7 linked regions of the Oryctolagus cuniculus genome follow. The protein of the gene in region 3 purifies or fractionates together with the protein of the main gene of each other region. This does not show direct contact. Links are inferred from orthologs where the notes say so. Each region holds a gene or a part of one and is shown on either strand. Other genes may lie near its edges. The genes, in order: DAXX, HDAC2, DNMT1, SIRT1, EZH2, PARP1 and MTA1.

What was found.
Region 1: the proteins of DNMT1 (region 3) and DAXX purify together in Homo sapiens (affinity purification with western blotting; 4 studies listed by BioGRID, with this or other methods). This does not show direct contact. The link is inferred for Oryctolagus cuniculus from reciprocal best matches to the Homo sapiens genes DNMT1 and DAXX.
Region 2: the proteins of DNMT1 (region 3) and HDAC2 purify together in Homo sapiens (affinity purification with western blotting; 3 studies listed by BioGRID). This does not show direct contact. The link is inferred for Oryctolagus cuniculus from reciprocal best matches to the Homo sapiens genes DNMT1 and HDAC2.
Region 4: the proteins of DNMT1 (region 3) and SIRT1 purify together in Homo sapiens (affinity purification with western blotting; 3 studies listed by BioGRID and IntAct, with this or other methods). This does not show direct contact. The link is inferred for Oryctolagus cuniculus from reciprocal best matches to the Homo sapiens genes DNMT1 and SIRT1.
Region 5: the proteins of DNMT1 (region 3) and EZH2 purify together in Homo sapiens (affinity purification with western blotting; 6 studies listed by BioGRID and IntAct, with this or other methods). This does not show direct contact. The link is inferred for Oryctolagus cuniculus from reciprocal best matches to the Homo sapiens genes DNMT1 and EZH2.
Region 6: the proteins of DNMT1 (region 3) and PARP1 purify together in Homo sapiens (affinity purification with western blotting; 4 studies listed by BioGRID and IntAct, with this or other methods). This does not show direct contact. The link is inferred for Oryctolagus cuniculus from reciprocal best matches to the Homo sapiens genes DNMT1 and PARP1.
Region 7: the proteins of DNMT1 (region 3) and MTA1 purify together in Homo sapiens (affinity purification with western blotting; 4 studies listed by BioGRID and IntAct, with this or other methods). This does not show direct contact. The link is inferred for Oryctolagus cuniculus from reciprocal best matches to the Homo sapiens genes DNMT1 and MTA1.

What each region holds. Positions count from the first base shown.
Region 1 is NC_091436.1:135,802,970-135,807,157, forward strand, and holds the start of DAXX (death domain-associated protein 6), read left to right. Parts: upstream 1-1,388; 5' UTR 1,389-1,527; exon of another isoform or gene 1,528-1,645; intron 1,646-1,752; exon of another isoform or gene 1,753-1,886; intron 1,887-2,018; exon of another isoform or gene 2,019-2,155; intron 2,156-2,736; 5' UTR 2,737-2,788; coding exon 2,789-2,995; intron 2,996-3,149; coding exon 3,150-3,981; intron 3,982-4,081; coding exon 4,082-4,188. UniProt on the Homo sapiens protein: Transcription corepressor known to repress transcriptional potential of several sumoylated transcription factors. Down-regulates basal and activated transcription.
Region 2 is NC_091436.1:57,442,399-57,445,898, reverse strand, and holds part of HDAC2 (histone deacetylase 2), read right to left. Parts: intron 2,802-3,500; coding exon 2,646-2,801; intron 783-2,645; coding exon 725-782; intron 1-724. UniProt on the Homo sapiens protein: Histone deacetylase that catalyzes the deacetylation of lysine residues on the N-terminal part of the core histones (H2A, H2B, H3 and H4).
Region 3 is NC_091447.1:67,170,686-67,174,185, reverse strand, and holds part of DNMT1 (DNA (cytosine-5)-methyltransferase 1), read right to left. Parts: intron 1,455-3,500; coding exon 1,336-1,454; intron 827-1,335; coding exon 734-826; intron 598-733; coding exon 446-597; intron 351-445; coding exon 163-350; intron 79-162; coding exon 1-78. UniProt on the Homo sapiens protein: Methylates CpG residues. Preferentially methylates hemimethylated DNA. Associates with DNA replication sites in S phase maintaining the methylation pattern in the newly synthesized strand, that is essential for epigenetic inheritance.
Region 4 is NC_091446.1:59,833,015-59,837,011, reverse strand, and holds the start of SIRT1 (NAD-dependent protein deacetylase sirtuin-1), read right to left. Parts: upstream 2,801-3,997; 5' UTR 2,725-2,800; coding exon 2,292-2,724; intron 1,377-2,291; exon of another isoform or gene 1,309-1,376; intron 887-1,308; coding exon 770-886; intron 1-769. UniProt on the Homo sapiens protein: NAD-dependent protein deacetylase that links transcriptional regulation directly to intracellular energetics and participates in the coordination of several separated cellular functions such as cell cycle, response to DNA damage, metabolism, apoptosis and autophagy.
Region 5 is NC_091434.1:174,746,348-174,749,847, reverse strand, and holds part of EZH2 (histone-lysine N-methyltransferase EZH2), read right to left. Parts: intron 2,009-3,500; coding exon 1,906-2,008; intron 1,401-1,905; coding exon 1,222-1,400; intron 1-1,221. UniProt on the Homo sapiens protein: Polycomb group (PcG) protein. Catalytic subunit of the PRC2/EED-EZH2 complex, which methylates 'Lys-9' (H3K9me) and 'Lys-27' (H3K27me) of histone H3, leading to transcriptional repression of the affected target gene.
Region 6 is NC_091444.1:39,042,332-39,045,831, reverse strand, and holds part of PARP1 (poly [ADP-ribose] polymerase 1), read right to left. Parts: intron 2,772-3,500; coding exon 2,655-2,771; intron 1,940-2,654; coding exon 1,763-1,939; intron 1-1,762. UniProt on the Homo sapiens protein: Poly-ADP-ribosyltransferase that mediates poly-ADP-ribosylation of proteins and plays a key role in DNA repair.
Region 7 is NC_091451.1:47,274,681-47,278,806, forward strand, and holds the start of MTA1 (metastasis-associated protein MTA1), read left to right. Parts: upstream 1-1,326; 5' UTR 1,327-1,456; coding exon 1,457-1,557; intron 1,558-3,514; coding exon 3,515-3,570; intron 3,571-4,126. UniProt on the Homo sapiens protein: Transcriptional coregulator which can act as both a transcriptional corepressor and coactivator. Acts as a component of the histone deacetylase NuRD complex which participates in the remodeling of chromatin.

The sequences.
Region 1 (4,188 bases), on a different chromosome or scaffold from region 3:
CGGCGCCGTGGCTCACTTGGTTAATCCTCCACCTGCGGCGCCGGCATCCCATATGGGCGCCGGGTTCTAGTCCCGGTTGCTCCTCTTCCAGTACAGCTCTCTGCTGTGGCCCGGGAAGGCAGTGGAGGATGGCCCAAGTGCCTGGGCCCTGCACCCGCATGGGAGACCAGGAGGAAGCACCTGGCTCCTGGCTTCGGATCGGCACAGCGCCAGCCGTAGTGGCCATTTGGGGGGTGAACCAACGTAAGGAAGACCTTTCTCTCTGTCTCTAACTCTACCTGTCAAATAAAAAACATTTTTTTAAATAAAAAAGTCTTTCTTGCGATTTTGACTCTTTGTTAAAAATATTTATCGTTACAATTATGAAAAACGAATTTATCAAGCAGCACAAAGATTGTGCAAATTTTTGCATTACGAATTTTTAATAAGCTAGAAGATTGTGTTCATGGTGCATCGCTGAAATAGACCACGTGTCTTTTGACTTCAGCCAGGTAAGAGACCCAGGCAACTTCACGGCTGTGAATTATTATAAGATGGAGAAAGTCCATTGTGAAGGGGAAGGAAGAGGGAGAACCTCTACCGCAGGCGCTCGCTCTGGGAGCCCAATTTTGGGAAAGCTGAGGATCTGAAACTTAAATCCTCTTTGTCAAGACCCAGTGGTCTTGGCGAGTTTTGTTGCTCAATTTGAAGGCTGTAGGCCTGGACGACTGGCGAGAAGTGACAGGGATTCTCAAAGGAAGCGTCAGGGATGCAAGGCCGCGGGCCTGAGGCAGGAGGCCACCACCCGCGCGTGGGCTTCGCGCTGTCCCCGCAAGCGCGCCTCGGGACGCGGCCCGGCCTCCCCCACGCGAGGCGTCTCCTCCGGCTCCTTCCTCACTCTGTCCTCGGCTCTCCCTGAGGAGCAGGAGACCACCGCGTCTCCCCGCACGCGCGGGGGCCATCGCCCAGCTGCTCCCCCCAGCCCCCGGACCCCACGACAGAGCCTCGAGGGGCCGATGCCGCCGCAGCGTCCAGGCCCCACTCGGAGAACAGCGCAGCGCCGCTCGGGTCCCGCCGGCTTGGACGCTGATTAGTTCTGAGGCGGAGCTCGGAAAGCCAGTCAACAACAACGTAGCGATAGTAATACCACCACCACCACCTTCAGGGAGCGCGGTGCTCGTTTGTACGCATGCGTCGACATTTCCCGGCCGGGGACGTAGCACCTGGAAGTGGAAGCGGCGGCCGGGCAGCGGCGAGGGGCGCAAAGCCCATTAAGCGGTGGAAACCGGTACCTGGGAGATAGGAAAGCAGGACCGGAAGCCTCACTAATTGCCCAGCGGAAGGAAAAGGTTTTATTTCCCCGTTTAGACACGCCTGCCCTTTCCTGAAGCCATGCACAGCCTTGGCGACCCCAGTTCTTCAGCCAGCCTATTCCACTGCCCCCCTCCCACCCCTGGGAAAGGTGGCTCAGTGGTCTCGGCACGCGACTAGCTGGCGGTTGGGCTCGAGGCAGGAAGTTTCTGATTGGCGGAGTCCCAGAAGCACCAGGTGAAAATAGCTCCGCCGGCTGAGGGCCCAAGTCACTGCAGAGCTGGGGCCGTACAACAAAATGGCGGCCCCCAGCAACTTCGGGACGCCCTGAAGGGGCAGGCCCCGCCCCCTACAGGTCAGGGGGAAGGGAGTCGCGGGCTAGGTGGGCGGTACTAGGCACGCTCGGTGGGGCCTTCCGGAAGCAGGAAGGCTGGGCTCCGTACGACAATATGGCCGCGCTTATACGCGTGTAGGCGGAAACTCCGCGGCTTCCGGTCTGTAGTGGGGCCTGCGGTGGGAGGGGGAAGGAAGGCGGAGGGAACCATGCGAGGTTCTGAGATCAGCGGCGAGGGTCGTCTCGTGAGACCGTTTCTGAGGTGCGGGCCGGACTGTGTGGGGAGCGAAAACGGGGGAGGGGATATCGAGGAGGCGGTACTGGGGAGACGCGGGCTCTGAGTCTGAGAGGCATGCTCTGGTACCTTATTCCTGAAGGGAAGTGGGGCGGCTAGGGGTCTGACCTGGGGGAGGGGGACTTGGCGGGAAGCTCATCTACCCTGCCGGCGCGACTCAAGGGTGGGATCCGAGAAGAATCGGGAGAGCCCACTGTAGGTCTCACGATCGGTTACAAGTCACAGAGAGCGACCAGGTAAAATCAGGGTGGGGTGAGAGGGAGGGCTCTTGAGGTGTCATACTCCAACCCAGTGCCCTGGTTTGAAGAAGCCCATCAGAGGGTGAAATACGGAGTTAATAGCAGGAGGGGAAAGGAGAATGGATCGTTGAGAGGACTGTTGGATTGTCTAGGAGTTGGGGTGATCATTAAGGGTGGGGTATGGGTTTGACATGTTTCGGGGTGAAAGGGGCCAGACGTGAGGCAGCCAGAGCGAGTGTGTTTTCCGTGTGTGAGGGTGTCATGGGAATCTGGGAAGCGGGACTGGGGTTGGAAGAACCAACTTGACAACTATGAGAAATAGTGGGGAGATGGAACAGAAAGACCGGAAGCCAATGTGAGAGGTAGAGCTGGGTGTGGCGATTGAATGTTTGCGGTTCCCTGTCCTGGGCCACTTGAAGGGCCCGGGAAGGCATCCAGAGCTAATGGTTGCAGAAGACAGGCAGTGAGGACACTGTTGGGCAGGGCTGGGTGTTGCTGAAACCCACGGAGATTGGAAACTGAGCTGAAGGGAGGGGCTATGCTGGAGGGGCTCTTTCTGAGGCCCCATCCCCTTCCAGCAGGAATTCTGAAACCCCCAACACTTCCTCCCTCCGGGGGATTTGATCCCTCATGGCCACCGCTAACAGCATCATTGTGCTGGATGATGATGACGAAGATGAAGCAGTCGCTCAGCCAGGGCCCTCCCACCCACCCCCCACTCCGGCCTCACCCCAGGCAGAAGCCCCTGGCTCCTCTGAGCCCCATGGGGCCGGAGGAAGCAGTAGTTCTGGCGGCAAGAAATGCTACAAGTTGGAGAATGAGAAGCTGTTTGAAGAGGTGAGCTTTAGGGGAGAAGATTCTTATACCCCAGGGAGGGGGATGGCGCACTGGCTCTCTGGTCCTCTCTCCCCCACTAACTGCACCCCCCCTTCTCTCTCTCAACCCCCTCCCTTGTCTCTTGTCCGCTCTCTTCTTCCCCCGAACCCTCCAGTTCCTTGAACTGTGTAAGACGCAGACAGCGGACCACCCTGAGGTGGTCCCGTTCCTCTCCAGTCGGCAGCAGCGTGCCCACTCTGTGTTTTTGGCCTCAGCCGAGTTCTGCAACATCCTCTCTCGGGTCCTGTCCCGGGCCCGGAGCCGGCCCGCCAAGCTCTACGTCTACATCAACGAGCTCTGCACCGTTCTCAAGGCCCACTCAGCCAAGAAGAAGCTGAACTTCGCTCCTGCTGCCACCGCCTCCAGTGAGCCCTCTGGGAGTAATACTTCTGCAGACCCGGCCTCGGAGCCCGGCAATGCTGAGGCCGCTGTCTCCGAGGCCCCAAGGACCCGTGGCTCCCGCCGGCAGATCCAGCGCCTAGAGCAGCTGCTGGCACTGTACGTGGCGGAGATCCGGAGGCTGCAGGAGAAGGAGCTGGATCTGTCAGAACTGGATGACCCAGACTCCACGTACCTGCAGGAGTCGCGCTTGAAGCGGAAGCTGATCCGCCTCTTTGGGCGACTGTGCGAGCTGAAAGACTGCTCTTCGCTGACCGGCCGGGTCATAGAGCAGCGCATCCCCTACCGCGGCACCCGCTACCCAGAGGTCAACAGGCGCATCGAGCGGCTCATCAACAAGCCAGGCCCCGACACCTTCCCCGACTACGGTGATGTGCTGCGGGCCGTAGAGAAGGCAGCTGTCCGGCACAGCCTCGGCCTCCCGCGCCAGCAGCTCCAGCTCATGGCCCAGGACGCCTTCCGAGATGTGGGCGTCAGGCTACAGGAGCGACGCCATCTCGACCTCATCTACAACTTCGGCTGCCACCTCACGGATGACTACAGGCCAGGTAGCGGGTTAGCGGGGTGCCCGTCGGAGGCAGAGGGGACCGCTCGCCCTCTCTGCCAGGGTGTGGGCTGAGTGCTCTGCTGTCATATCTTCCCATGTAGGCATTGACCCTGCACTGTCAGATCCTGCCTTGGCCCGGCGCCTTCGGGAAAACCGGACCTTGGCCTTGAGCCGCCTAGACGAGGTCATCTCCAAATACGCAATGATG
Region 2 (3,500 bases), on a different chromosome or scaffold from region 3:
ATAACACTAAAATACAGAAATAAGCGCACCATGAGGCCGGCGCCGCGGCTCACTAGGCTAATCCTCCGCCTTGAGGCGCCGGCACACAGGGTTCTAGTCCTGGGCAGTCAGGGCACCAGATTCTGTCCCAGTTGCCCCTCTTCTAGGCCAGCTCTCTGCTGTGGCCAGGGAGTGCAGTGGAGGATGGCCCAAGTGCTTGGGCCCTGCACCCCATGGGAAACCAGGAGAAGCACCTGGCTCCTGGCTTCAGATCAGTGCGGTGAGCCGGCCACAGCACGCTGGCTGCAGCGCGCTGGCCACAGTGGCCATTGGAGGGTGAACCAACGGCAAAGGAAGACCTTTCTCTCTGTCTCTCTTTCTCACTGTCCACTCTGCCTGTCAAAAACAAAACAAAACAAAACAAAACAAAACACCATGAAAACCATGAGCGCACATTTAAAGAAAGAGTTTCAAACTGATTTATTATCTAATTACAATATGCAGTAATTCTATGTAGTTTTTAAAAGCAAGCTACTTAACAGATGAGTAGTAAACCAATGACAAAAACCAATGAGTAAGATGGCACAAGTCTCATGCATTAAGACAGACTGAAATTTAGAATATCTCAGACAATGTTCTCAGATTTAGTTAAGTACTTCTCAGTACAGATACCAATAAAGAAACACACCCCAAGGAAATATATTTTTTAATATATAACAATTAATTGATAAGGAATATCATTTACCCTTTGGTATCTGTTTTTTCACCACTGCTATCCTTGGATTTATCTTCTTCCTTAACATCTAGAAACAAAGATTAGGAAAAGATCAAAATCTATTTTGAAATATAATTCAGTATATAAGTTTTATTTCAGGTATTATACTAAATGGTAGATGTTTAAGCTTTAACCTAACAGTCACTGCCCTTTTTGAGCCTTATCACAGCGAGGATAGGGACTTCAAAGGAAAATGCAGCACTGTGGCAGGTGAGGAACGGCTACCACAGATGTGACATCTGAAGCTGTCCTGATGAATGTAGTTTTGGTAGATAAAAAGGGAAGAGAAACATCTTGAATAGACGAAGAAAAAAACTCCAAAGTTTTAAGGACTCTGAGCTAAGAAGAAATTGGCAGGATGGAAGGAGAAACCCTACTGCGGCTAGAGCACTATGAGAAATGGAGAGTAGATGACACAACCAGAGGCTGCTGCCACCTTTAGTTTTGTTTTCTTCTTTTTTTAAGATTTACTTATTTATGTATTTGAAAGGCATAGAGAGAGGCAGAGATATCTTCCACCTGTTGCTAGTTTGCTCCCCAAATTCCCACAACAGCTAGGGATGGGCCAGGCCATAGACAGGTATCAGGAACTCTCTCATGTGGGTGGCAGGGATCATCACCTGACAGTCATCTGCTGTCATCCTATGCAACTCGGCAGGAAGCTAGAATAAGCAACAGCAGTCAGAAGTCAAATCTGGCACTCAGACACAGGATGCAGGCATCCCCAGCAGCAGCTTAACCCACTGCGACAGTGTCTGCCTCATACCTTTATTTTCTAACCCTCACTAAATAAATACTGAAAAGTTTAAAACTTTTCAACAGAAGTTAACACTACAATCTGAAGACTGCAAAAGCAATTTTTTTTAAAGTTTTTAAATATTCTTAAGTATTCTACACATTGCAAGAGTCTAGTCCTATAATATGAACACCCATGTTGACAATATGGATTTTATGGCATTTGTTGTTTAATTTTGGCTATGTGAACTCAAAGTGCCAAAACAGGATGGGAGAGGGAAACATGAAAAAGAAATGGCTCTATGGCCTCGACCCATAGTTTTTTCCTAAAAGTTTTCTTTTTTCTATAGGCTGAGAAATTTTAAGAATCACGAAGCCTGATGACCAAAGAACAGAATTAGAAGTATCAGCTTTGATATGGATTCCTAACACTAGAGAAGAGAAAGAGCCAGTTTACTGGACTACTACTATCTCTGCTTTCATATCAAAACAGGTCAACTAAGATTTTTGCTCATCACTGTTACTTGCATAAAGAAACATACCAAGTGCTGAAAACAGGTATTTAAGATGCTGTATTCCCTAGCCAGCTGGCATGGAGACATATAAATACAGACAAACGATCACAGATTCTGGTGGCAAATTCAATTGCCTAGAGCTGACAATCTTCAAAGATAGAAAGGTAATAGAAAGCAGTATATTTTTAATCTTTTCTGAGAGCTTTGTGTTTTCCTCAATTTCTGAACAAAGTCTATTATCTGGCCTTATTAAAAATGATAAAACTAGTATTAAGTAAAGGTTGATTTCATCTACATAAACTTTAGGTAGTTAAAAATTATCTTAGAATTTCAGCTCTCTCGTAGACTACAGATTTATAACTTACCCTCTCTCTTAACTCTAACTATTTAAGCCTTTATCATCAAGAGAATAAGGTTTCCTATATTATAAAATCAAATGTAAGTAGGAACTTGCAAAGATTTCAATCAAAGATATTTAAAAGCCAAACTTTATATGGAGGAAAAAATAGCATTTACCTAGCATACTCACCTCTCTGTAATACTTACAGTAGATGACTTCAGGAAATTTTTATATTTCAATGTAGTTCTCAATTAAAAAAATTTTTAAATCAGAACACATTCACCAAAAAATTAAATCTGACCTGCTTTTTTGTCCTCTGTTTCTTTCTTGTCTTCTTCAATTCTTGCTTTCTTTGCTCCTTTTTTATGATCAGATACATTCCTACGACCTCCTTCTCCTTCATCTTCAGAATCTGAGAATTCTTCATCACAAGCTATCCGCTTGTCTGATGCTCGAACTGTTAACGTAAGATTTTAACAAGCTTTGAGGAAAAGTCACAAGCTTTAAAATCATTACAGCACACTCATGCAAATGTACTCATCAGTTACCACATTTCAAAGTATAGGATAACAGATGCTTAATAATTTTAAGATTGGAACAAAATGAATGGTTTGCTCTAATACCGAAAACTTAGCTGTGGTTTATAAAACAGTTAAAGAGACATTTGGGGATCTTTTGATTTTCTAAAAGGTAAAAGTTTGGAGGAAAAAAGTATGCTTCTCTTAGAGCAAGTGGGAATAACATCTTTATACCTAAAAGGTGGCCTTTTACTTCAGGGTTCTGAGGAAAAGGAGACAAAATAAAAAATAGTACCATTAATGTGAAATACAATCTCTGTACCATTATGATATAAATCTATAATCATATTAAGTGTAATCAAAGACTATAAAATCAAACAGCAAGTGCTTACTATTTTACACATTCTAATTTGAGCAAATGGCATGTTTTCCCAATTTATTCCTGAATATACATAAGTGGATAGTTTTTGGAAATTTTATATCTTACATGTATAGTTATTTAAACTGAAATTGTACATGCAAATTAGACTATGAAGCACCACAAAGACAAATATGCATAAGATTAAAAATGGAAAAAGCAGGGGCCGGCACTGTGGCGCAGAGGGTTAACGCCCTGGACTGAAGCACCAGCATCCCAT
Region 3 (3,500 bases):
TTTGTGGTGGTGGCCTTCGTGGGCCCCTTGTCCTTCTCCTTGGCGGAATGCCTGATGGTCTGCCGCCGCTCCGCCCGCCTGTGGGGACAGGGGGCCCCTGTCTCAGCAGACCAGGAGGCGGCGCAGGCCGCTGGGCTCCGGCACCGTCCTGCCGGGTCTCACCTTTGCCCCAGGGTGACCCCGGCCAGCTTGATCAGGTCTCGCATGCAGGGGGTCAGGAAGATGGGCTGCTCGTCGCTGTCCTTGGCGTCGTCGTAGCTCTCCACCTGTCCCACCACAAACTGGGCGTGGCGGAGCAGAGAATCCTCCGTGAAGCGGTTCAGGTTCAGCGAGGAAGGGGGAACGGTGGTCTGGAAGGAAGGACAGACAGCGGGAGTTTCCCGACTGCTTAGGCCAGGCTGTGCCGCGGCGGCGAGGCTGCGCGTCCGGGGCCCGAGCGCCCCACCTCGATCTTGTTGATGAGGTCCTCGTAGGTGGAGTCGGGATTGCTCTGCAGGAACTCGACCACGATCTTGCTGATGTAGATCTTCTCCTGCATCAGCCCGAAGATGGGCGCGTAGTCGGGGCTGGGGTCCATGAGGATGTACTCGGCGAACGCTGCGGGGAGGCGGAGGCGCCGGTTTGCTCCACGTGGGCGAGGCTCCCATCACCGTGGCGAGTGTTTCTGTCCACTGACGCTCACGGTTGCAGAGAGCACTGAGCCCAGCCCCGCCCACGGCGGCCACACACTTACAGGTGCTGAAGCCGATGAGGGCCTTCTCCCCGCCATCGAAGCCCGTGATCCACCACTCGTTGATGGGGCCAAGGTTCTTGCCATTGACACCGCCTAGAAGCAAGAGCAGGGAAGTTTCCCAAAAGGCCATGAATCAGGTGCCACAAGGGAGCGGGCGCTTGGGCGCTGGGCCTAGTGGCCGAGACACTGCTTAGGGTGACCACGCACGCATCAGGGTGTCTGGCCCCTTCCCAGCTCTGGCTCCTGACTCCAGCTTCCTGCCAGTGCAGACCCTGCAGGGCAGGTGATGGCTCAGGCCACTGGGCCACTGCCACCCATGTCGCAGACTGCCATCGAGTTCAACTCTGCTTCAGCTCCCTGGTCGCTGAGGGTACTGGGGAACGTGCTAGCGGTTGGGAGATCTGTCTCTGCCTCTTAGACACACTAGAGGACAAAACCAAACCCAGGAGGCAGTACGCCCAGCTCCCTTGACATTTCTTCCAAGTGATTGTACAAACAGCTGCTCATGGCAGTCTCCGGCCCGCCTTCTAAAGGGCACAGCTTTTCTCGTGTCGCTTCTTGTCAAAGTATCTGCCCCAAGCCGCCCCGGAACACCCCCGCACCTTCCTGCGACGGGTTGTCCTCGTAGATCGGCTTCGCTGAACCCGAGAAGCAGAGCTCCACGTTCTTCTCGATGAGGCCGGTGTCGATGGGGCACAGGTGGCCGTGCTTACAGTACACGCTACAGGGGACGGAGAGCGCGCTCAGCAGCCAGCGGGGTGGGCGGGCGCAGGGCAGGGGGGGGAGCAGGGGCGAGTCCAAGACCCCGCTACCTTTCAGGCTGCGGGGTACCAGGTTAGCTCTGGGTCCGCCACTCACTCCGTCTCTACCTGGCCTCCCTCCTGCACGCCCAGAGTACGCGTGAACCTCACGGCTGGGCGTCCGGGGCAGTGCTTGGGACGCCCACACTGGAGAGCCTGGGGTTCCAGCTTCCCCAACGCACTCCCTGGGAGCCGCAGGCGATGGGCCCAGTACTCGGGTCCCGGCCACCCACGCGGGAAACGTGGATAAAGTTCTGGGCTCCTGGCTCTAGCCCGACCCAGCCCCTGGCTGTTGTGAACAGCTGGGGAGTAGACAAATGGATTGAAGAACTTTGTCCTAAGTGCAATGAGAAACTTAAGATGTACGTCTGAAGGGGACAAAGGGACCAGTGACAAGGCAGCTGCTTCCACAGCTGCTCGCTCCGTCCCGCGGCCCTCGCCTCTCCCCAGCTCCAGACGGCATCACCTGAAATAAGCCCCAAAGCCATCACAGTCGCCCCTCACCACTCAGCCCCCGCCCACCTGCTCACTTATGAATCTGCGCGGTCAGGACACTTCAGATCTGAGTGGCACCTGAAAATGTTACTGACACCCGCCCTAGAGCAGGCTGCAGGACAACTTGCAGAGGTGGGGGGGGGGGCACAGCAAGGAGGGGTTTCTGCCTCCTCTTGGGGGCACGGCCTCCCAAGTCAGGGGACCCCACAGTGTCCCTGCTCTGATGCGCCAACACGTGGGAGCAGATTCTTTATCAAGAACAGAAACACGAGCAGACCAGGGACCTGGGCAGGGGGGCTCTGCTCAGGCCAGCCTCAAGGGCCATTCTTGTCCAGAGGTGCCTGGCTACCCGAGTCCCCACATAGGGCCTGGGCAGGTCTCAAGAGGGTACCCCTGACTCACAGCGCAGCCCCCAAGCCCATGGTGTTCACCCTCAAAGATCACCAAGTTTCTCAAAATGCATGCCTCCCGCCGAGCTCCCCTTGTACGTATTGGGGGGCACAGACAGGTCGCAGGCTGGCCCTCAGGAGGTAGGGTCCAGTGGGAAAGACGGACAGACAGCCTGCGCTGGGGGAGGCCTGGAGAGGAGGTGTCAGGCTCTCTGAGGAGAGATGTGGGAGAAGCTCTGAGTCGCCACAGGCCACACCCTACGTGCTGCCACCAGCCATCAGGGCCAAGTGCAGAGGTACCTAGAGACCCTAGGCAACCCAGCGGTCTGGCTCCTGAGCCTCACGCTGCAAGGCCTGGGACACCCCGCCCTGCGGGAACGCACCCACAGCACACCCTGGTTCACGAAGAACCGAGGCGCCCGCGCCAGGTGCGGCCCTGGCCCCACTCCTGCTCCGAGCCTGCTGTCCCGAGGGTGCCGCAGGGAGGCTGGCGGGCCCGGCCATCTGCTCTGCACCACAGGGTGGGCCAGGGGTCAGAGGTCCATGGCCCCACACTGGGATGGCCGTGGACATGTGAGTAGACCTGGACACCAGTGGTGGCTGTGGGACAGGACAGACACAACCAACCACCCAGATGTGCAGGGTGCAGCCGCACACAGAGGGCTCATCCCAGTGGTCATGGGAACCCCAGCTTGGGTGAGGCATGTGTCAGGAAGGCGACCCAGGAGTGCTGCCAACAGGTACACCTGGGGGAACCCCAGCTCTGTCTCTTCCCCAGGACAAGGAGGCAGGGCTGCTCCCGGCCCTAAGCAGCAGAGGAAGCCTGGGAAGCAAACAGACCTGGGGACATGGGAGAGCCCGGGCCTCAGCCCACGAGCAGGGGCAAGGGTGCAGCTTGGACGCCACAGGCCAGCCCTCAAATGCCAGTCAGCGTGCCTTAGCCTAAGGCCGTGTGACCCAGGCCCGCCCATCCCACCTGCGCTGGAATGTTCCTACCACACACCTCTGGTCAGCACAGGCCCACCCTGAGCCCCTGCCACCGTGGGGGGCCCTGGCCACGGTGACCCCTATACCACTGAGCCT
Region 4 (3,997 bases), on a different chromosome or scaffold from region 3:
CGGATCGGCACAGCTCCAGTTGTTGCAGCTATCTGGGGAGTAAACCAGCGGATGGAAGACCTCTCTCCGTCTCTGTGTAACTCCGACTTTCAAGTAAGTAAATAAGTCTTAAAAAAAAAAAAAAAAAGAAAATGCATTGTGTGTTTTATTTAATTTTTAAAAAATTATGTTCTTTATTTAAAAAGGTGGAGTGAGAGCACAAGAGAGCAAGAAAGCGGATGTGAGTGACAGCTCCCCTCTGCCGTTTCAGTCCCCAAACAGCCACAATAGCTGGGCTGGGCCACGCAGAAGCCAGGAGTCAAGAACTCAATCCAAGTCTTTTACAGGGGTAGTAGGAACCCAGCCACTGGAACCACTATCCACCAACTCCAACACTGTCCATTACCAAGAAGCTGGAATCAGTAGCAAAGCAGGACTTCAAAGTAGGCACTCAGATATAGGATCCAGGAGACCCAACTAGCATATTAACCTCTATGCTTACCCCTTTATTTTTCTTTAAAAAAAATAGCAAAAAAGATTTTGAATGATTTCACAATAACAAGATGATGTATGAGACAGGGATGTTTACTCTAATTTAGATGTTACACAATCTATAATGTGTCAAAACATCAAATGGTACCCCATAAATACGTACAATTTTTGTACTTAAGAGCACTAGATTTTTCTTAGAAATATAAGTTGTTATTAAATCTCTCCATGTACCTAAAAACTTCAATCTATTAAAGGGACAGAGGGAAAATGGGGGGAGGGGCACAGCTCTGAACCATACCTATCCGTGGCCTTGGAGTCCAGTCACTAGAGCTTGCATGTGAGGCTCTGTCGTCGTCATCGCTTTCACATGAGTGAAAGCCATTAGTGATAATTTCATCACCGAACAAGAGATTATCTGCAAAAGAAATCAACATTAAGGCTGCTGACAGCCTGCATCTGAAATGCAAGAAGACTCATCAGTGGTCACAAAGCAACCATTTTTAATGACTAAAGCATTTAACATACATCCCGCATGTGTAAAGGTGGTCAACATTCACAAGAGCAGTTCTCTGATCCTCAAGAGATCCTTTGCAGAATTCAAAGCTTCAGTCTATCAAAAATCTGAGTCTACTTTTTAAAAAGTCAAAACAGAATAAGAGGTAGTCTCTATAGACTGAGCTTAGCAATCATACAAGCAAAGGAGTACATGCAAGTTGTCAAAATTTACCCACCAACGTTGTGAAAACCAAGGCTGCCTGCACTCTGGGCTTTTATATACTACTAAACATACTTAGCTATTTCTGCATTATCTGTTTCTCCCATTTATTGTGCTTCTAAATACTATGATGGTTCCTTAGTTCAGCAGACTGAATCACAAAGAAATTTAATATTTGCCAAATTTACCTGAAGGAGGAAGGAATTTTGTTTCTTGAAATCAGGAGCTGCTTCACCTGTGCAGTCCCTGATGTATACACTACACATTTTTTTTTTTCCATGTGGCTACTAAATGCTCCACTGGCTAGTTCCGACACAGTACTGACAGACACAGAAACTTCTCAAGTCAAACTATGAAACCCTCAAGGACAAGACATGTACTTCAGTATGTCAAAAACATGTCAACCTGCTTCAGGATCACATATATACAGAAGAATCCCATTTAGCTTAAAACCACTTCAGAACACGACTCAACCACAATATTAATATAAAGCACTCTGAAAGTACTTCATTATGCGATCCCCACTAAACGCATCACAAAAGACTGCTTTAGAAACTATGCTTTTAAAGTTTTCAGGTTAAGACCTCAGAAAGCCGCTTTGCTCTTTCCAAATTTATAACTACAAGTTTAAAAGTACAGATCGTCAAATAAATAAATAAATGGCACAGGTGTCAGTTTGCACGGGCAACTGCGAAAGGTCGACCAACGGGACGGCCGAAAGTTGCAGACTTTAAGTGTGCTGGTGAAGGAGGAGGAGAGCAAAGTAAGTTCAACGAAAGCAATACTAGAAGAGAGAAAACTTATTTGTAAAGCCAAGGGAGACAGCGTCCACACCCGGCGGCTGCGTCGAACGCCGCAAGGCCGCCGAGAGGGGCCGCGGACCGAGGGAAGACAAGGAGCAAGTCCGCGCGCAGCTCCCCACCGCACGGCCGGCAGCCCGGGAGCAGCGCGGCTGAACGGAGGGCCGCCATGGGGAGAGGATCCCGCGAGCCAGCCCGGAACCCCCGGCCCGCCCTAGAGACCCCCCCCCCAACCGGACACTAGGAGGGGCCCCGAGAGGAGGAGGAGGGGGATGCGCAGTCCCGGCCGCCCGCGCCCTGCGCACCTCTGTACCCAATCCCCGCCGCCGCCTCTTCCTCCTCTTCGCCCTCGTCGTCGTCGTCTTCGTCTTCGCAGAAATCGTCGGCCGGCGGCGGCTCCCGGGGTAGGCCCTGCAGGCCAGGCCCATTGTCTCCTCCGGCCGCTACCATAGCCTGGGCCTCTCGCTCCCCGCCCGTCGCCGTCGCCGCCTCCGCCTCCCGCCACAGCGCCGCCGCCACAGCCGGGCAGCTCCCGGCCGCCGCCGCCGCCGCCGCCGGCACCTCACGCTCGGGGGCCGGCCCGCCGGACTCGCCCGGGCTCCACCCGAGGCCAGGGCCGTCTCTCCGCGGCCTCTTGCGGAGCGGCTCTCCAGCAGGCGGCGAAGCGGCCTCCCTCTCGGCCGCCGCAGCCGACGGGGAGCCGCCAGGCTGAAGGGCGAGCGCCGCCTCGTCCGCCATCTTCCAACTGCCTCTCTGGCCCTCCTTCCTCGCCTCCTCTGCTCCCGCTCGACGCGCGGCACTGGCGCCCCCGCGGCTCCGGCTGCGGGAGATTTAAACCCCGTCACGTGACCTGCCTCCGCCCCCGCCCCCGCCCTCCCGCCGCTCCCGCCACCCACGCGGGCCGAACCACAACACGGCCGGTCACGTGGCGGGCGGAGGCCCGGGCGTCTCCCTCTCTGCTCGGGCGGGGAGGAAACGCGGCTCGGGCGGCCTGAGGCCCCTCCCCTCAGTGGCGGGCGTGTCTTGCACGCTCGCTCGGCGGCCGCTTTTGAACTTCTGTTTGGAAGCGTCCTGAACTCAGGACCGTCCGGAAGGCACACGTTTTGGTTCACGGAGTTTCCACTTCTGCCTCCAGCGCACACCTTCCCTGCCTAGCCCTGTCTGCATTTTTAGCTAAGGGTTAAAGTTGGGCTCCTGAGAGGCGATGAGGACTGAAGCTTCGCTCCTTGAAATAACGCTGGGTAGCCGTTGGGCTTTTGTCAGTGGGGAGGAAAGAACAAGGCGCTCTGCCGCCCCCGCGCCATTCTGACAGCCCTTCTTCAGCTCCTTTGCTTGGCCCTCCCCTTCAGTGATTGGCTCTTGTGCCCTGTCGCCCTCACTTGTGGGGCGAGATTGTCAGATCCTCACAGGCGTGTGTCCCCGTCCTAGGTCCTTTGACCTGGGAACTTGGGAGTCAGCCTATCAGCTTTCGGTCCGTAACTTGTACTCAAATGTGTGTGCGTTCCTACCTGTGGGCCCCGGTGTTCTCAGGTGTAGTGATTGCATTGGGTCAAGTCGGGCAGTCGAGAACAAGGCTCGGCCACTCCCCATCTCTGGGTTTGCTTTAAATTTGGGATTCTTGTATACCGAGCAAGTTAGCCTTTTCTAAATCCAATTTTTTCTCATAATACCTATTTTGCAGGGTTATGAAAATTAAATAAGCTAGCTATATTTAAAAGGTACATAGTAGTTCAAAAACCAGAGTTGCTTCCCCACTGGAAACTCCACCACTTTCCACTTGCCCTGGAAAATTGTTACTTTACAGCCATAACTAAGGACCTATGCTTTGCGTGGCATCTGCCTGCAGCATTTCTAGTCACTTAAAGAACTTCTCAGCGTTCATAGCACACCATTCCTTAAACTGACTATGGGTCCTGGATATATTGCACCGATACCTGCATGACCTTAGGCAAGCAACTCAAGCTCTGTTGCTTTAGCTTCAAAAAGAACCAAGAAGGCTGGAAACTCATTT
Region 5 (3,500 bases), on a different chromosome or scaffold from region 3:
AGCAGTATAAGGTGGTCCCAGTCCTTGGGCCCCTGCATCCACGTGGGAGACCCGGAAGAAGCTCCTGACTCCTGGCTTCAGATGAGCCCAGCTCTGGCCGTTGGAGCCATTTGGTAAGTAAACCAGTGGATGGAAGACATCTCTCTCTCTCTCTCTCTCTCTCTCTGAATCTGCCTCTCTGTAACTCTGCCTTTCAAATAAATAAATCTTCTTTAAAAAAAAAGAAAAAAGAAAAAGCAGGGACACAAAACCCAAAAGGCAAAGCAATGTAAGGCCATTTAGGGCAGGGTCAAAAGCTTCTAGAAGTATTACTATGCCATAAACAGGCACCCTAAAACATAATATGGAAAAAGTTGAACTATATTATGTAAACTCTGAAAATTAGGAAGTATGAAATATATTCTCAAAATATATACCTCAAAAGTAGTTGATGCTTTTAAAAATGTACTTAAAAATAAGGTCCAGTTAACTGGAAAATTACTAAGAAACTTCATTTCCTAAAAATATCAGGGAAAAAAAGTATTATTGGATGTACCATAATTCATTAAGAATATTTTATGCTTTGCTAGTATACAAAACACGGGTATTTAAAAAGCAACTTACTGGGCCGGCGCTGTGGTACAGCAGGTTAACGCCCTGGCCTGAAGGGTTGGCATCCCATATGGGACCGGTTTTAAGACCTGGCCACTCCACTTCTGATCCAGCTTTCTGCTATGACCTGGGAAAGCAGTACAAGATGGCCCAAGTCCTTGGGCCCCTGCACCCACATGGGAGACCTGGAGGAGGCTCCTGGCTCCAGATCGGTGCAGCTCCGGCCATTGCGGCCAGTTGGGGAGTAAACCATTGGATGGAAGACCTCTCTCTCTGCCTCTCCTCTCTCCTCTCCTCTGTGTAACTCTGACTTTGAAATAAATAAATCTTTTTTAAAAAAAAAAGAAAAGCAACTTACCCAGAGGACCAAAAAAAAAAAAAAAAATTCAACACTAAGTAGACAAGAACTAATATAGCATTTTTTTAGCCAATTTCTTTAAAACAGAAGTCTGAATTAAATGTGTATAAAACAATCCTCAAGCAACAACATAAAAATAACAATACTGAGTTCATAACATTTTTTAATCTTAACTGTAAGATTCAGTAGAAAATTCTAGTTGTATTAAATAACATTATTTGAGTTGCTTTAAAACATAATTCCACAACAAGAGATGGAAAATGAAAACGTACAATAATTGCACTTACGATGTAGGAAGCAGTCATATTTAAAACATCGCCTACAGAAAAGCGTATGAAATGAATGTAAGCTTTGCTCCCTCTGAACAGATTTAGCATTTGGTCCATCTATATTGGGAGTACATTCAGGAGGAAGTGCACCTGGGAGCTGCTGCTCGGTGAGTTCTTTGTATCTGACAGTAACCAAGAAAAATTTAAGTAAATATAAAAGAAAAATCACTTTTTCAAAATAAAGTTTCTAAAAGGTTTCCATGTATTATTTTAATGTTTATCTTGCCTAAAACAAAAAGGAATATATCTAACATAAATCAATCTTTATAGACAAAGAAGCAATTAGATATCAAGAATCAAATTCAATGAAATGATTCAGGTATATCATGAAAAAGGATATTAGTTTTAATTAATCATCAATGTTACTGAACTTTCTGCTAGTATCCAGAGAAATTTTCCTCTAAATAGACTGCTATAAATTTTACATGTATATATAGTGTATATATAAAGGTATTTATTCAACTATAATGTTTTATAGTGTAGAATACCACAGATAAATATATTGCTTCAAACATCTTGCCCACACTATAAACAAGCAAGTGCTATATTTGTTGCATTTGTAAATAAACGAAAAGGAGAATTTCCACAGCACACAAAGTGAGACTATCTCAGAAAAGCAAATCTTACTTTTCCTTTAGTTCTTCTGCTGTGCCCTTATCTGGAAACATTGAGGAAATGGCTTCAAAAATTTTATCAGAAGGAAATTTCCGAGGTGGGTGGATTTCTTTATCTGATTAGGGAAATATGAAAGGGGGAAAACATGAAGTCAACAAGTTTTCAATCTTTCATTTTCTATACATAACTGTATCTCTATAACATAGCTGATTTTCTAAGAAATCATGAACTTTTTGTTTCACTAACATATTTTATGTGTATTTATGGAATGCGCATATGTCAAACACAAAATTCAAATACAAAAAGTTTTCAGAGTTCTGGAAGGGGCCAGTGCTATGGCATAGCAGGTAAAGTCGCCACCTGCAGTGCCAGCATCCCATATGGGCATGGTAACAGTCCCAGCTGCTCCACTTCCGATCCAGCTCTCTGCTATGGCCTGGGAAAGCAGAAGACAGCCCTAGTCCTTGGGCCCCTGCACCCACGTGGGAGACCCGGAAGAAGCTCCTGGCTCCGGATCGGCACAGCTCCAGCCGTTACGGCCATCTGGGGAGCGAACCAGCGGATGGAAGATCTCTCTCTCTCTCTCTCTCTCTGCCTCTTCTCTTTCTCTGTGTAACTTTGATTTTCAAGCAAAATAAATAAATCTTAAAAAAAAAAAAAAGGGTTTTTAAAGATTTATTTATTCATTTGAAAGTCAGAGTTACAGAGAGAGGAGAGGTCTTCCATTCCCTGGTTCATTCCCCCACTGGCCGCAATGGCCAGAGCTGCGCTGATCCAAAGCCAGGAACCAGGAGCCTCCTCTGGGTCTCCCATGTGGGTAAAGGGGCCCAAGGACTTAGGCCATCTTCCACTGCTTTTCCAGGCCATAAGAGAGAGCTGGATTGGAAAAGGAGCAGCTGGGACTAGAACCGGCACCCATATGGGATGCCAGCACTTCAGGCCAGGGCATTAACCTGCTGAGCCACAGCACCGGCCCCTAGGTTTTAATGCCAATCATGCTACTAACTAATTTTGTCACTGGGCCTGACTGCTTACTTAACTACTTCGGTCTGTCTCCTCACCTGTAAAACAAAGAGTTTAAACTAGATCATCACTAAGGTATCCCTTTATTATAAAAAAAAAAATCTATGCATCTTTGCAATTTTTCCCCAAAGAATTCTATGCTGCTTTAATATGATCCATGCCAAGCAGAAAATACCAACCACAGACTGTCTTGGGACAGACTACTTTTTGGAGAGTCGCAGCTGACTCGGGAAGAAAGGCATAAGTCTAAAGTCACATATATTTTGGTTATCATCATGGAGTTCAAGGCTCCATTTCTCCCCAGTAGTGTGATCTTATGGATCTAATAATATCCACCTTATGGAGTCTTTATTAGGATTAAGATGGTGCATATGACAGATCACAAAAGAGTGCTCTCTGGGTAAGGCGGACAAAAATCTAGGCCCCCGCAGCGGCTATATATACTTTTTGGGGGTTCACCTCACATAATGGCGCCTTGTGAGATCAGAGCAAGAAATGGACCAATGGGAGCTGCAGTTCATCCACAGTGGTTTTCTCGAGAATCTTCCAATAAAATTAAAACGATACCAAAAAAAAAAAAAAAA
Region 6 (3,500 bases), on a different chromosome or scaffold from region 3:
GTGTTGGGCTTCCACCAGATGTATGGACCCAGCCACTTGAGGCCTTACCTACTGTTTCCTAGAGTGTGCACAGGCAGGCAGGAAACTCAAACCCAGGCACTGACATGGGATGAAGGGTCTCAAGCAGTGACTTAACTGCTGCCCCCACCCCATCCTTGAATCATTCTCAAGAATGAACAGGCCTTCCTGGGGCCTCAGGTGCCCAATCTACGACCAGAAGGGCCCCAGGACCACACACATCATTACCTCTAAGTCAGAGTAACTCTTTTCCTTTTTTTACTGAACTTACAACAAAATCCCTCAACAGCAAATGGCACAGTTCACTCTCTGTCCCAGGAGATTTACAAAGGGACTTATTCTAGATGGTCACTCAATAAAAGTCAAATGCACAAAGCTCTGGGAAAGACCACAGTTCCTATGCTAAGACTTCATCCAATCAATACACAGGCCTTTCCGACGATGCCACAGTCAATGAATGCCAGTTGGATTAAAGGCTAACAAAGAGCCTCCAACATACACTGACCACCTAATACTGCCACACATCACAGGCAGGTTCAGAAGACGGTTTCTGCCCTTGAGGAGGCTCAGTCTCGACCACGTCAGATATACGATGGTAAGCCAAGTTCTAAACTTGGAGCCAAGTTCTAAACTGGAGGTGAGCTAAGGTGACAGGAAAGTGGGAATGCTGGGAGGGCACTCACAGGCCAGTGACCTGCTGAGTCTATTAGGAGCTGGAAAAGCAGGCAAGTGTCTGCTTACTACAGGAACCTAGATGGCCTACGGGGAACCCTAGGGAGCTGTCCATGGCTGGGAGTGTAAAGAGCCAAGGAGTACGGCGGGGAGAGCGATAAGGGAGGAAAAGGCGGCGGCAGGAGAGGCTGCAGAAGGCCCAGAGTCAGATCATGGAGAGATCCTGGTTCTGTCACCACAGGGACACAAGCTGGGGGCAACAATCACCGCCTGGGTCTGGGCCCGTGAATCCACACAGGCAGCAAGTGCCACCAGACTGCAGAGGTGTCATGCACCCGCACACACTCTCAGATGCGCTACTGTGGGCACATGGACTATAAACAGTCCACGCTGCTAACTGTCATCTGATTTGCTCCTTGAGAGATAGTAAACACCACACAATGGGTCTGTAAGATGCTGAAGGAAGGGAGGTGACAAGCTCAGACCTGCTCTAGCATGGACACCCAAGTGCCGAGGGGACTGGCTCAAATGTCCTCCCCGCATGGGAACACAGCAGGTGCAGCGAGCAAAGGGAGAACCGGGACCTTGCCCCAGCTCCTGCCGGCCTGAGGGCACAGGGCAGGAGCTTATCCAGCCACCAACTCTCCAACTGAGGGGTCTGCGCCCACTAAATTCCACTTGTGGTCCCTCGTATAGAGGGCACTCAGTACCTAGTGATACATGAACTCTGGACCTAACTCTCCCTCCGGCACTAAGGCAAGGAAATGCTTGTCATAAAAGCAGGAATTACTACTATCTGTTCACCATATGTCCCTCACAGTAACAGCGCACAATGGGCCCCAATAAATCAAGTAATTCATGGTCCTCACAAGCAATTGGACAAACCTTGACTCCACACTTCAGAGACGCTTTGTTTCCATATTTGTACAGTCTGCAAACATATGGAACCCATAAAATTTTATGTTCTGATCATGAGAATGGCCCAGTTGTGACAAAGTCTGCCACTGCAGTCTTGGTGACAAGCCCCACCAACAGATCCCAGAACCATCCCTCCCTGCAACAGACCCCTTACCTTTGGGGTCACCCATTCCTTCCGGTTGGGTGTCTGTGTCTTGACCATACACTTGGTCCAGGCAGTGACGTCCCCGGTACAGTAGTAAGCATCGCTCTTGAAGACCAGCTGGCCCGAGCACTCCTCGCAGGGAAGGAGGGCACCGAACACCATGCCATCAGCTACCCGGTCCAAGATCTGAAGCCAGCAATGAAATGGTCAGAGGGGAAAGGAGGCACTCCAGAGAAGACGCTGTGCAATGTGGCATGGAGAACTTGCACAGACCTCCTTCACTGCAACAGAGGCTTGCCTGGGGCTCTTGAACTTGCCCCCTGGGCAGCTGGTTTGCTAGGGGGCTTGGGTTCTTGGGTTTTCAGAGACCCATCTCTAAGTGAAGTGTTCCTTCACCTTCCCCATCCCTCAGATTGGGAAATACAGGGAGAGCCCAGAGCATGCCCTGGTCCTGCACAAGGTACCAAGGCAACCTCAACTCCAGAGGAGGAGGGCAGGGAAGAAGCAGCTGGGGAAATGCTGGGACCCTGGCATACCACCTTGCAGAAGGGTCTCTTTCCCTCCACAAGCCTTGCAGCCCCAGGGAGTTTGGGCAGAAGGCAGCTGAGAGTGCTACTCAGGCCAAAGTATGTGGTATGACCATTCAAGGCAAACATGGCCCACTCTAGCCCCCAGCAGAATTCCACAGCAAGTGTCAACATGAGAAATGTCTGGTAGGGCCTGTCCCAACTGCCCCTGGGGAAATGGTGACCACAATGGCAGTGATGACTGTACAACATGACCACCGAGGTTTTACTCCTCGCAGCTAATACCAGTAGGTGTTCAAACGGAGGGCCTCGCATATTCCATTAGGACAGTCGGCCTCACAGGCGTGTCCCGCTCTAACACTAAGGCCGCTCACCGCCGACTCCCCGGAAGGCACTTGCTGCTTGTTGAAGATGAGCAGCTCTTTCAGGTCATTGGTCGAACATACTTTCTTTAGTTCATCCTTGATGTTCCAGATCAGGTCGTTCTGGGCCTAGGGACAAGACCCAGCAGCTGAGTGAGAGGCCTCTCTTTTCAACTGAAGGAAGAGTATACCCCTGGACATGCCTGGCCTCAAGCACACACCAGAGGATTAGCTGAACTGACTCTCCCGAAAAGACGGTCTGAGCAGTAGATTTTAAGTCCTTGCCATGCTCCAGCAGGTCTCAAATTGAATATGAAGCATGGGCTCTCAAAGAGTTGTGCAAGGTGGGGAAGAAACCATTAACAAGTGTGGGGAAGGACGTAACAAAGTCACCAAAGCCCCTGGAATGCATCCCTCAGAAACCAAGCCCACAAGACACACAGGGGCCTGTAAGTGCTAAATGGCCCACATGTGTCGACCACCAATAGCCAGAGGCCAAAGGAGGTAGGGTGTGCCTGTTCTCTGTCAATCTTTTCTTATTTGAAAGGCAGAGACAGATAGACAGACACACACAAAGGATATCTACAGAGAGCCTCCATTAGCTGGTTTATTTCCCAAATGCTACCACCAGCTGGGACTGGGTCACACCAAAATAAGACTCCATCTGGGTCTCTCACATGGCTGGAAGGAACCCAAGTATGTGAGCCTAACCTGCTGCCTCCCAGGGTGCACATTAGCAGGAAGCTGGAACTGGGAGCAGAGCCAGGGCTAGAACCCAGGCACTCCAATATGGCATGTGGGTAGCCCAGGTGGTGTCTTAACTGCTTTACCAAATGTCTGCCCCTCTACCAATTTGAC
Region 7 (4,126 bases), on a different chromosome or scaffold from region 3:
GCTCCCCCCACCCAGGCAGCTCTTCGGCCAGCCGTGAAGGAAGCACCCCGGGTCCCACCCAGCAACTCAACTCCAGGCCCGCTGGCCGCCTCTCCAGGACTCCCACCCCAACGGCCCTGACTACACCAGCCCCGGGGCCCCAGCCTCCCTCCAAGCGTCAGCTCCCCATCGCGCCCCCCAGGCCGGACCTCGTCTCCCTCCCACCGCAGCCCGGGCCGTGCGACCCTCAGGCCTTCCCCGAGCGCGGGGCACGCAGTCACGTTGCGCCGGGCGTTGCGGGAAGCCCCGGTGCGGCGCCCGCTTGGCCCCGCAGAGCGCAGGGAGCGGCCTGCACCCCGGGCGAGACCCGGCCGCCGAGTCCGGGGCTGCCCGCGGGGGCTGCCCGCTGAGCGTCGGGGACACAGAAGGCTCAGCACTGGCGCCAAAGGCTGGGCCCCGCGGGGCGGCCGCCTCCAGGCCAGACCTGAACCCCCGAGCTTCGGGGCAGGCCGGCAGTCGTCCCCGGGGGTGCTGGGGGTGTAGACCCCGCCGGGGCAGGCGCGGCGGGAGGCTCCGGCCGGGGCGCGGGGGCGAGCTCCGCCGGGCAGGCGCGCGGCCGCGGCGGCGCGGGGTCGGGTAACGGCCCGCGCGGTGGGCGGCGGCGCCCGAGGCCCCTCCCCGTGCGGCCGCTCCTCCCCTTCCTCTCCCGCCCGCGCCGCGGCCCTCCCGTCCCTGCGCGGCCTCGGCGGCCTCGGCGGCGGCGGCGGCGGCGGCGGCGGCAGCGGCAGCAGCGCGGCCCCTTTAAACCGCCCGCCCCGGCCCGCGCCGCCCCCGCCCCAGCCTCCATTTTCCGGCCGCCCGCGCCGCGCGCCGCGCCCGCCCGCGGCCCCGCCGCCGCCGCCGGCCCGGACATGGCCGCCAACATGTACAGGGTCGGAGGTAAGGCCCGGCGCCGCCTTTATGCGCCGCGGCGCGGCCCCGCCGCCCCCCGGGCCCGGCCCGCGCCCCCGCCCCGGCCCCGCGGCGCGCCGCCCCTCCCCCACCCGCCCCCGCGGCGCGGCCTCGGCCGCCCCCGCCCCGCCGCACCCCTCCGCGCGGCCCCCGCCCCGGCCGCCCCGACCCAAAATGGCCCCGGGCCGGCCCGGCCGGGCCGGTGGGCGGGGGTGGGCGAGCTGCCCGGGCGGCGGGGGCTGGCCCACCTGTTGGGCCGGGGGCGGCTGCGGGGTGCGGGCCGGGAGCCGTGCGCGGCCCTCGCCGGCGCGGGGGCCTCCTCCGGGGCCCGGCCTGGCGGGAGCCCCCGAGCGGAGCACGTGGCCGGGCTGGCGCGCGCCGCCGCGGGAGTTCGGGGGCGTTGGGCTGTGGGGGCGCCGGGGCGCCAGCGCCGCGGAGCCGGGTTTCTCCGGGGCTTGGGGGCGGCCTCCCCGCGAGCCGCTCCTGCAGCTGGGCCTGGGGCCGTCCCGTGGGGGCCGCGCTGGGGATGGGGGCTCGTCAGCGGGGACCCTCATCCCCAGTAGCCTCCAAGTCACCCCAAACTTTTCGCTGCCTCCTGCTCACCCCAGCCCAGCGAGGCAGCGCCGGGTGAGGCCTGGGCGGGGGGCGGCCGGTTCTCCTTGGGCCCGGGCCTCGCCCCAGTTTGCGTGTGCGTGTGCGGGCGCGGGCGGCTGCGTGGGGTCCCGCGTTGTGCCTCAGGTAGGCCCTTCCCAGCCCGGGGTGGCGCCCCCCCGTCGTGAGCCGCCCTTCCCACCGCGGAGTGACCCCGCAGGGCAGGCATAGCTGTGGAAGTACCCCCCGATCCTGTCTGCACCCCCCCTTCTCCACCGAGGCCTGAGCCGGACATGGAGTCTGGGTTGAGCGTGGTCCAGCCAGGCCAGCCCTGCAGCCTGGGCCCGGTGTGCCCGGGGCCCTCTGGTGTTCGGGGTGGGCAGTGACCAGCTCACACCTTTGCCCGCGGGGCCCTGGGTGGACACAGGCAGTCCACACTCCCTGCCAAGATGCTGGGGGACAGGGGCCCTTCGTCCACCTCCCTGGCCCACGCTGCTGCCCCAGGGAGCTCCTGGCTGGTGACTCCCAGCCCCAGTGGAGGGACGAGTGAGGGAGCAGAATGGCACCTCCCAGCTTTGGTGGCCATGCCATGCGGGGGGTGGGGGGGTGGGCTCTGGAGGGAAGGACCCCTGCCCAGGCCCCCAGCCCAGCAGGCGGGACACCTCCTGCCTGGGATGTGCCTGGGGAGCTTCTCCCTCTGCCCCCCCAGTCCAGGCTGGACCCTGTCGTGGTGGCCCCTGCACAGCGTGCCTCAGTTTCCCTGTGCCCTGCAGCAGCTCCCCAGGGCCCACCTGGGTGCCTTGAGGGCGGGGTGGCTTGGATCTGGAGCCCACGGTGCCGGGTGGAGCCAGCTTCTACTTCCTGTCTGTGGCTGGGGTTGCAGAGCCTGAGGCAGAATTGGGGTCGTGGCCCCAGGAACCCCAGAGGTGGGCCCCATGCCATCTACACGGAGCCGCACATGCCGTGTGCCCATGGTGGACGGCTGTTGGCATCTCGGCTCAGCATTGCCTGAGCCCCCAGGTGGGGGACAGGAAGGCGCTGCCCCTCTGACAGCGGGCCTCTCGTCCTGCCGTGGCCTGGGGGAGTGGCCAGTGAGGGACCGGCCCTGGGCGGGGCCTGTTCCTGTGGTCTTGTCCTGGCCCAGCCTCCTGGGAAAGGCCAGGCCCATGGGCCTTTCAGAGCGCAGAACTGGGGTCTCAGTGCGTGGGACATACGTGCGCTAGAAAGTTCTAGCTGACATCACATTGCCCGGAGTCCTGTGTCTTAGCTGGGGGGCTGCAGGTGCCACGGCCAGGTTTTGTGCCAGCTGCCTAGGCAGAGAGGCCTGGCCTTGGACAGGGGCCCTGGCCGGGGTCAGGGTTCCTGGACCTCTGGGCAGTCTTCTGCCAGTGTGATTGGCGTGTGTCCCGGCCGCTGTACCCACCGCTCCTGCAGTTTGGGGTTCTGTTCTCTGTTCCCCCACCCTGGGCAGCTTTCGCTCGGTCCTGATGTCCTGTGCTTGCAGAAGGGGACAGGGCCCGGAGCTGCAGGGGCGTGAGGCCGCGTTGGGCCCTGCTTTTGCACCCTGCCTCCTGCTGGTGCGTGGACTTCTTTTGTTGTAGCCCTGGTGTTTATTTTTCCATGGACGCTCTTTGGTCAAGTAAGGCGTTCCCCAGGATGGAGACCCCGCCTGGGACAGAGACCGTCCCCTGTGTGGCTGTGGTCGCCCCGCCCCCTGCACAGGGGCGGCCTCTGGAAGCTGCTGGCCCTCCTCCCTGGCAGCGAGACGCGGAGTCTGCCGTCCACAGTGGGGACCTGGGACGTGGGCCGAGGGGCACGGGCGGACCTGGGGGTCTGTCCGGGGGGACAGCTGCCAGCCTCCGTCTGGGCGCCCCTACCCCCAGCAGCAGGGGGCCTCTGTGCCTGCTTTGGGGCTGTCTTATTGTTTTAAGAGAAACATTTGGCCGCTGAGCTCTTGGGTTAATAACAAAAGCAATTGGAGCGAATGGTCTAGGAAGCAGTCTCTGGCCGTGGCCGTGGCCGCTGGACGTCATACTCCGAGCCCAGCAGGTGAGGAAGGACTGTTCTGGGGACCCTGGCACCCAGTGTGCCTTCTCTGGAGGGTGTTCCTCCTCGTGTCCCGCTGCCCCTCGCCTTGTCTTCCTAGTGGCAATAAGGCAGAGCTGGACAGGGGCGTGGGGGTCACAGCCCATCCCCCAGGCCCGAAGGCCCAGCTCTGCACCTCCTGGTGCCAGGCTGTGCCACAGCTGCTGCGGGGATGAGCTGGCCGGGGAAGGACATGGTGCTGCCCCCCCTGAAAGCTGCTTAGCAGCCTGTGAGTGCGGGTCGCGGCCCCTGACCCACTCTGCTTTCTGTCCCTGACTGGGCTCTGCAGAGGGCCTGCATCTGGCTGACCCCTGGCCGGGGCCACATGCTCTCTTGCAGAGATGAGATTCCTGGAGCCGGCGTTGTGCTGAGGGTCTCGGTTCTGCTGCCGTCCGCCCTGTGTTGACCACAGCACAGCGTGGGTGAACGAGGGGCTGTGGACAGCCAGGGAGCACGGCCCGCAGGCGTCCCCCCAAGAGGGGAATGTGGCTCAGGTGTCCTGAGCTCTTGCTGGGGCTGG